Neodiprion lecontei: one gene and its partner. The protein of the gene in region 1 interacts with the protein of each later gene in a pairwise test. Links are inferred from orthologs where the notes say so. Each region holds a gene or a part of one and is shown on either strand. Other genes may lie near its edges. The genes, in order: epidermal growth factor receptor kinase substrate 8 and E3 ubiquitin-protein ligase Su(dx).

Region 1 (3,932 bases):
AGTATGCGAAAAGAAAAAAAATTCTTCAATATTGAATCAACACATTAAGTACCGACGGTAAAAAGTTTTGCCAAACAGATTATACGCAGCTCATCTTGAACTATTATGTGAAATACTTTCAGTCTCGCATGAAGCGTGTCAACAAACGGCGATTACGTTATATTTACTTCTTCGCAGGCGGTATCTAAGTATGCTTTTTCATGAAAGAAATTGGCGAATGATTGTATGTACGCTGTTTTCTTTTTTCTCAATTGCAAATCGAACGACGGAAAGTCTGCAGCCTGCGCGAGCAAACCAACCAGTCTAGAGAAATAGATTAGATTGGTAACAACAACTCGGCGGTGAATTTCTCCTTCATATACCGTCAAAACTGCGTCTGATCTAAACTCGTTCTGGTATAGAAACTTATAATTACAAAATTCCCACCCAATTCTCTAGAAATATATTTTCAGATTCTCATGAGCATCGCAAGAAGTATGACTCCATGCATAAAGAAAAAGAAATACAACATCCCGGCATCATTGTTAATACTATGTGTGAGATTTTCGCCGCTCAATATCCTCAATACCTAGAGGCTGCCATTTTGGTGAAAATCGTGTCTCTGATATTGTCAAAGATAGGCAAGTCAAAAAAGGCGTACGAAGAGCAAGAATTAGATATCGTATCGCGCCTCAAGAGGAATCAAATTCTCCTCGCGGTTGATTGTTCGGAGTGACACGACCGACGTGCGAACGTGCGTCTCGTACCTACGGAAAATGACATCATCATCGTCATCGACCCTGAATGAGGAAGAAAGAAGAAAAGAACAAAAGTCAACGGGTGAAAAACTGGCAACGAAACGTCACGTGTGCACGCGCCTTTATGTTGACACTATCGAATTCGAGATGTAAGCTTGCGAGGCTGGATGTGGGCAAGTAACGAAAGGTGCCCCCCCCCCCCTCCCCCCGCTCATCTCATGCGGCATCAAAGAGTATTAATGCACGCGCCGATACAGGCGTGTGTATGCGTATACCTATGTACGCAAGTGTATGTATCGTGTACGTATCACGTAGGATGTATATGTATAGACAGCCAGAAGGGATCAGTTCTTGGCTGAATCGCATTCCAGAGATTCCAAGGCGACTTTAACCACATTTGAAATTCCCAATCCGTAATGGACGCGCTTATCCCACACACGAAACACGTGTGTACACATACGTATATGTATACAGTTGACACAAATACAGAAGGTACGACGCGTGTACGCATGGCACGGTTCGACTTACGTGCATACGTATACCTATGCATATATACATATATATATACATATATTGTATAGTCGAGAAACTTTCATCTGCTCCCGGAATACACGTACGCATTCATAACTCGTGTATAATAATATAATATGCCTATGCTCGTTTTGAAATATACCTACTAACGTTATGGATCTTCATCGTTGTACCGCAAAGTGCGGTGCGAAATTGATTGACAATTTGAAATTGATGGGATACGGTAGATAAGAAAGTTCGACATTCGGATGCCGAGTTAGATATCGGTCGTCGGACCTCGTCAAGGCCAAGGTCGAAAATCTAATGGCTGGTTGTGAATGTGGAATATGGTGTGTAGCGTCCGACGATCGTGCAGACGCTGGAAGTTAGGCGCAGGTGTTTTCAAGCGATTTTCGATACCGCGAAGTAAAATAGATCTACACACCGTGTACGGCATGGCGAAAATCGGTGCTCGAATCCTGCAGCGCGGTGTCGGTGTGCATACATGTGGCAAAGTAAGACCGTTACGAAACGCATCGGAAATGTCTTCGAGGCGTAGGTATAGGTACCGCGTTGTTCTTCCGTACATTAACATTACCCTACGTTTATGGGAGGTTGCGCGACGACGACGTGCTTCACAAAGCTATTCGTGCCTTAGGCTGACACACCCTGTATCGGAATTGATGAAAAAATTTCCAAGGTGTGCATATCAAGCTCGCATGGCGCGTGCAAAAATTACCGGAATAATGCGTGTGTTTGTCTAACCGCATATTACCCTAATCGGGAAAGATAAGTCGCGATACTTTTCAATTCTTGATAGGCAAGAAATTAGCACGAACTTATCAGCATTTTGACAAATTTGACTGAGCTGTTCGTCAAGTTTTAATTAATCATCACAACCGAACGGGATCGACCAAAATTGTAAGGATCGAGATGAAATATTACGTCCAATGTAGGTACAGACGCTTAAATAATTCAGTACACCGTGTGCGGCTAGTTCCTGGAACTGATTTCTAATCACCTTGGTTTTCTTGTTAGTTACGCCGGTATGATTTTTGTTTTTCCTTTCGATCCTCTTTCCCCTTATCGTCACAACCCAACGCGATATTTACCTCGGGCTACAGCATAAGCTGGGTACGGGATTGAGCTCGGCTTCAACCGGCAATTCGGCCGTATCTTAATACACACCAATCTTAACACACACCAAGAACTGAAACCCTAATTGGATTTTCAAGAGGACAATAACCAGGAAAAACAGACAGCTTGCGAAATAAGCCGCATAATGGGTGAAGTGGAATCGACGCTTGGAGCTCCGTTCAAGTTGTGTTATTCGTACCCCATGTATATACTGATACAAAATTACGGTAGTCGGATGTTAAGACTAGCCAAAGAGTGTCCATATCTCTGCTGCTGCGTGTATGGGCGTATGTGCGTGCGTGTATGTGGGTGTATCGGTGTAGTGGAATATCATCGATAAATACCTTGTGACAGCCGAGTTTTGGTAGAACGCGGGTTTGGCTCGACGAAACTTATAATATCCAATATGACGGTGGTTATAATCGTAATCGCGTGGCACAAGACCAATCGCCGCCGTTTATTTTCACTGTAAACTTATCAACTTACAGGTATAGCTGCAGGTACCAGAACGATAAAAGTTTGAAAACTATCAACTCCGTCAACAAGTGTCAGTCCCGACGTCACACTCTACTCACCTATATACAATACGGCACAGAGCAACGGAGTTTTGGGCGGACCTCGGTCCCACTCATTGTCGACTGGAAATACCTGTGCCGTACCTCTATACCTGACGAAGCCCCAGGTAAACTTGGGCGGGTGTCCCCCTTCTTCACCCCCTTCGACCCACGGACAGGTAGCAAATGAAACGAACCACCTCATTGGTCGAGGTGGAACGGTACCGAGCTTTCCATTCGTCGAGACCTGCGACGGAGCTCGGTACGATCGGTTAGAAGAGGTCTTAGGTTTACCTGGGCCACCGATAGCGGATTCTCGGCTTGCCCTGTAGCGCTCACAAAGGCGGCAAAACAATAAACGACAGTCGTGGGTATTTGCTTGCTCTGGCCATTGAATTCAAGCCAAATTTTACCTGCTCGTATTTCTCGGAACATGGAAGGCATAAACTTCTTTTATTACGGCAAGAACATACTACAGTTAAAGTCCAAACTGTTTTCTTCGCGGAAGGTATTTAAATGGAGTCGGTGAAAGAATTTGGAAGCTCCAACTTTGAAAACTGTACCCGAGATTCTTTCGGAATAGGATGAAGTCAAGATAAAGTAGTAACGTTACTGTAACGGTGCATGTTGACGAAAAATCGGTACTTCGCATTTATAGGAAAGTCCGAGATTTGGTAAACCATTGTAAACAAAATATACTTCAATTTTGAAAAGCCAACTCCTTGAGAGTAATTTTTCAATCGCTTAACTTCAGTCTGATTCTTTCGGAGGATACAGTCAAGGCTGTTGCATTACAATTTTCGCATCCATGAATCGTTATTAGCTAACGATAATCCAGTGTCGATGGGAGAAAATTCGCTATTTTAAAAACGTCCTCTAAAGCCGAAGGATGTTTTTCAGACAATTTGAAAGTCAAAGCCGAAAAAACGTAGTCCTGATATTTTTTTTTTTACCATATTTCAATTTTGCTGTGGCCATATTACAAGTTTTTACG
Region 2 (3,932 bases), on another chromosome or scaffold:
CATGATTTGGTGATAAGAATCTTCGAACAAAGTTTGTCGGGTAACGCTGATCTTTATATGACTAGGAAGAGCATTACTGTGGCATAAATATCTGAATTGTGATAATTTCCAGCGAAAAGATCGCTCATATGCCTTTGGAACCCCATAGACACCCTTCGGCCTGTAAAGAAGGTGACCAAAATATGTATTATGGTACTTGGAGTAATTTAGACTCAATTTACGATTAAACCGAAATTCTCAAAACTTTCACATACCCTTTCGGCGCTCCTGGTCTTGGATCTTGGAATGTTGTAGTTCTCGAATTATGGTCCACAAAATACCGGACTCCATCTTCAGTTAATCTAATCTCCCATCCATCAGGTAAGGGTGGTTCGTCCATTCCTGTTTCTTGTCCTTGCGTTCTTGGATCCTCCCATTGAGTTGTTCGATTTTTATGATTCACATAGTAAACTCTGCCTTCGGGCTGTTTGCGTCTCTCCCAACCAGCTGGCAGGGGCCCTAGAGCATCATCTTCTTCAACGACTGCCGTTGAAAGACCAGCCACTGCTGCTTGTCCACCATGAGCCTTTAAAAAAATGTGCAGAAGATAAGAATAAAAAGATTTTTGGTTGTTCTGAAAAAAAATTCATCTTCAATGACGAAATTTTCTCCAATTTTTTCAGTTGGTGATCACCTGAGGGTAGAGGAATCTTTGATTTCCTTGTTGGACAACATGTTGCCGTTCTCCCTGCCAGTGCTGGAAATGCTGTAGCCTCTCTGTGTTGGGGCGTTGCCAAGTAGTACTTCTTGTATTGTGATCTACATAATAAATTCTCCCTCGAGGATCCCTTCGTACTTCCCAGCCTGGTGGGAGTGGCTGTGGCCTTTCCCAGGATGTACTGCGAGTGTTGTGATCTACATAATACCTGGAACGATAAAAAACTAAAAAAACTGAAATAGTTCGTCAATCTTCAAATTTATAGCAGTATATTTCTCTTTAGATACTCAATGATTCAGATATTCTGTACAAGAATGGTTGTAAAATCGCCAGAAACAAACGAACCTTTTTAATTAAATGACAATCCATAATTTACCTTCTGCCATAGACGTCATATCTCATTTCCCAACCAGCAGGCAAAGGTTCTTCAGGCTGATTACCATTTTCAGTCTCCCCGGGTACTCCAGATGGTCCAGCAGATGCTGGTTGACCCAGTGGGGGCCCTGTTGATCCACTGCTACTTTCAGTAGCCAAATGATTACCAACTCCATTAGCCATAGGAGAGGTAAGGCCAACAATTTGAGCATTGTTGGTATTATTACTGGGTTGACTTGCAGTGTGACTAGGATTGTGAAGAATGTTGGTTGAACTTCGATGCATAACTGGCTGCATGACGGAAGGTGCTGCATTCTCTGATCCGTGTAATCGCATGCGAGCTCTCACACCACCATTTAGAATACTTCGATTGTTCCCAGAGTCACTGTTTGAAGAACCTAGAAATAAAAAATGTTCGATCAACATTTCAGCTAATGCGAAAAAATATCTCTGAGATTTAAGGCCTTACCAAGTGGCGTCAGGGCACCGCTTGTAACTTGATTGTGGCGAACTTGTTCGCAGGAATTAGAGGGTATGACTTCGTTCATATCAATTTTTAGTCCGTCAAATAATGTTACCAACTCTCCAACCTTTGATAGTGGACCATAAGCATCGTGTTTATTTTCGCTCATTAAATCCAAAGTTAATTCAACATTATCCAATTTTCCATTGTAGTAGGACAAAACTTGAAACAAATTAATTCTCTTTTCACCAATCAATGCATCCCTACGAAAGGTGCTGTGATCCAAGAGTCTAAAATGCAGCTGGGAGTAAGGTGTTACAAGAATGGTAAACTTTTCCACCCATTTTGGCTGATATGTGGATTTTGCAATCTCAGTTTTGCGAGGACTCTTGTCATCAACTGAGAGTTCAACGTAAGGATTAGGTTTCAGAAATGACGAATTGCGCAATACGGCTGCTTCAACTGAAATGAAAATTAATATATCTTGGAAATCAACATGTTTTTAAGATAAGTAGATGAGGTAGAACTTGATCATAGTGGATGCAAAATTTAAAAAACTATTATCATTTACTAGTGATGCTAAGCTGATGAAACCCTGGAGTTGCAGCTTCCACTTCGCACTGTGACATGGTTTGCCTTTAGATGTGATTCACCAAAATAATCTTGAAATACCATTCATATTAAAACTCAGCTTTCAGAGTATTGTATAACTGAAAAATAAAAAAGAACATTTAGTATAATGTGTAGAATTTACTTAAAATCATTGAAAACAATAGGTTCAAGGGATCTAGGAATATTTTCTGTGAATCAGATTCTCTGGTGTAAGGTAAATATAAATGATCAATCTGTAAATATTTCTATTTTCGTGATTCAGAAAGCTTATAATTCAGCTTATCACGGATCCAGCTGTTACTCAGCAAAACTGACTAAACTATATGTTAGAAGAATACTTTCTTTTCCTGTCTTATTATTTGCTGACTAAAAAATTGGTCAAAAATTGCTTAGATCGTTTGTTAGTTGGCAAAGTGAGAGAACTTTAAATATTTGTAGCCAATAGAATACAGATTGAGGTTTGCGCAGTAAGACTATAGAACAAAAAAACAAAGACGATTACAATTCATTTAATAAATTAGGTGCAGATAGAAATTAAGTTGCGTAGAGGAAAGAATGAAGTACGTAACAGATCAGCAAAATTTGTAAATGTTGTCGCTATCAATTGATTGATCATGTGAGAAGATAATTAACAAAAATAAAATTCATAAAAAACAAAGGTGTGAATTGTTGAGGAATCAATATAACGAACTGTAAATGGAATACTATTTTACAAGCAACAAATTAAGAAATGTAAACTGACTATTTGGTAACAATGGGAGTATTACATTAGACTAGGAAATGAGGTACAGAAAAATGAAACGAAAATTATGAGTAATATACGGGACATTAATCTTGACGTTTCGCGAATGGTTGATTCATCATACATTGCAGATAGGTTTTGACGTTTCAACTATAAGGATACAAACCTATATAGTATTGAACAAATTTCTGAGGCGCGTGCAGTCTTGAAACATCGCTCGCTCGGTATCGTCGATTATAAGACACAAAAACTGAGTTGAAAAACACTCGGAGGATTCGTTATCATGATATTTCACTATCTGACGTCAGCCATCTTGCTGTCCGTCAGATCTAAAAGTGAGTAGTACGAAATTGAGATAAATAAATTGTTTAACAAATCGGGAATGGATTAATAATTTTTATACGGATACGTAAATTTGGTAACGTCATGATTTGTGCGGTTTATTTTTTTTCATTATTACAGAGTGTATTCAAAAGGAACAGGGGTCTAGAATTTCCTCGTTTTTTAGCGTAATTGTAAAACATAAGCAACTCACATGAGCTGCGTAGTTCCCACTCCGTGGTTTCAGACGTTTTAAGCATTTAAAGACCCAATATCCTAATGGAAGTGTGATATTTTCCGTGTAGCGTGGCCACATGTAAAGCTCCCATTGGAAACTGGGAAAAATGAAGGCTGACGCAAAAGTGGAGTATCTGATTGTCGATACTAGTGCATTTATTAGAAACGCAGCTATACAGGTATGATAAATAATAAATAAAGTACAGTTGTCCACTCACCTGCGTACACTCAATTACATTGCACTAGCTCGAATTAGGTTATGCCATCTTCGTTACCTAATTAGTAATGCGTTTTCTCGTACTCTTCTTTTTTTATCATAACTTAAACCGATAAGATTATGATTACTTGATATCGTATCACTTTTCAGCTCAAAATTCTCATATCATGATAAAAACTCATCTCCCAATTTTTCGTAACAGGATATCGCTGCCAACGTTATAACTCCTCAAGATGTTGTTAATGAAATAACCAACAAGCGGCAGCTC

The links.
Region 2: the proteins of epidermal growth factor receptor kinase substrate 8 (region 1) and E3 ubiquitin-protein ligase Su(dx) interact in a two-hybrid assay, tested with the Caenorhabditis elegans proteins (2 studies listed by BioGRID). The link is inferred for Neodiprion lecontei from reciprocal best matches to the Caenorhabditis elegans genes eps-8 and wwp-1.

Annotation. Positions count from the first base shown.
Region 1 is NC_060264.1:35,608,630-35,612,561, reverse strand, and holds the start of epidermal growth factor receptor kinase substrate 8, read right to left. Parts: upstream 3,088-3,932; 5' UTR 2,960-3,087; exon of another isoform or gene 2,871-2,959; intron 2,865-2,870; exon of another isoform or gene 2,729-2,864; intron 1-2,728.
Region 2 is NC_060261.1:34,764,081-34,768,012, reverse strand, and holds the start of E3 ubiquitin-protein ligase Su(dx), read right to left. Parts: upstream 3,195-3,932; 5' UTR 3,056-3,194; intron 2,246-3,055; 5' UTR 2,165-2,245; coding exon 2,107-2,164; intron 1,998-2,106; coding exon 1,542-1,997; intron 1,471-1,541; coding exon 1,074-1,470; intron 906-1,073; coding exon 674-905; intron 566-673; coding exon 255-565; intron 161-254; coding exon 1-160. Other genes in the region: RNA-binding protein NOB1, read left to right, coding at 3,555-3,626, 3,867-3,932. UniProt on the Caenorhabditis elegans protein: E3 ubiquitin-protein ligase which accepts ubiquitin from an E2 ubiquitin-conjugating enzyme in the form of a thioester and then directly transfers the ubiquitin to targeted substrates. Ubiquitinates klf-1.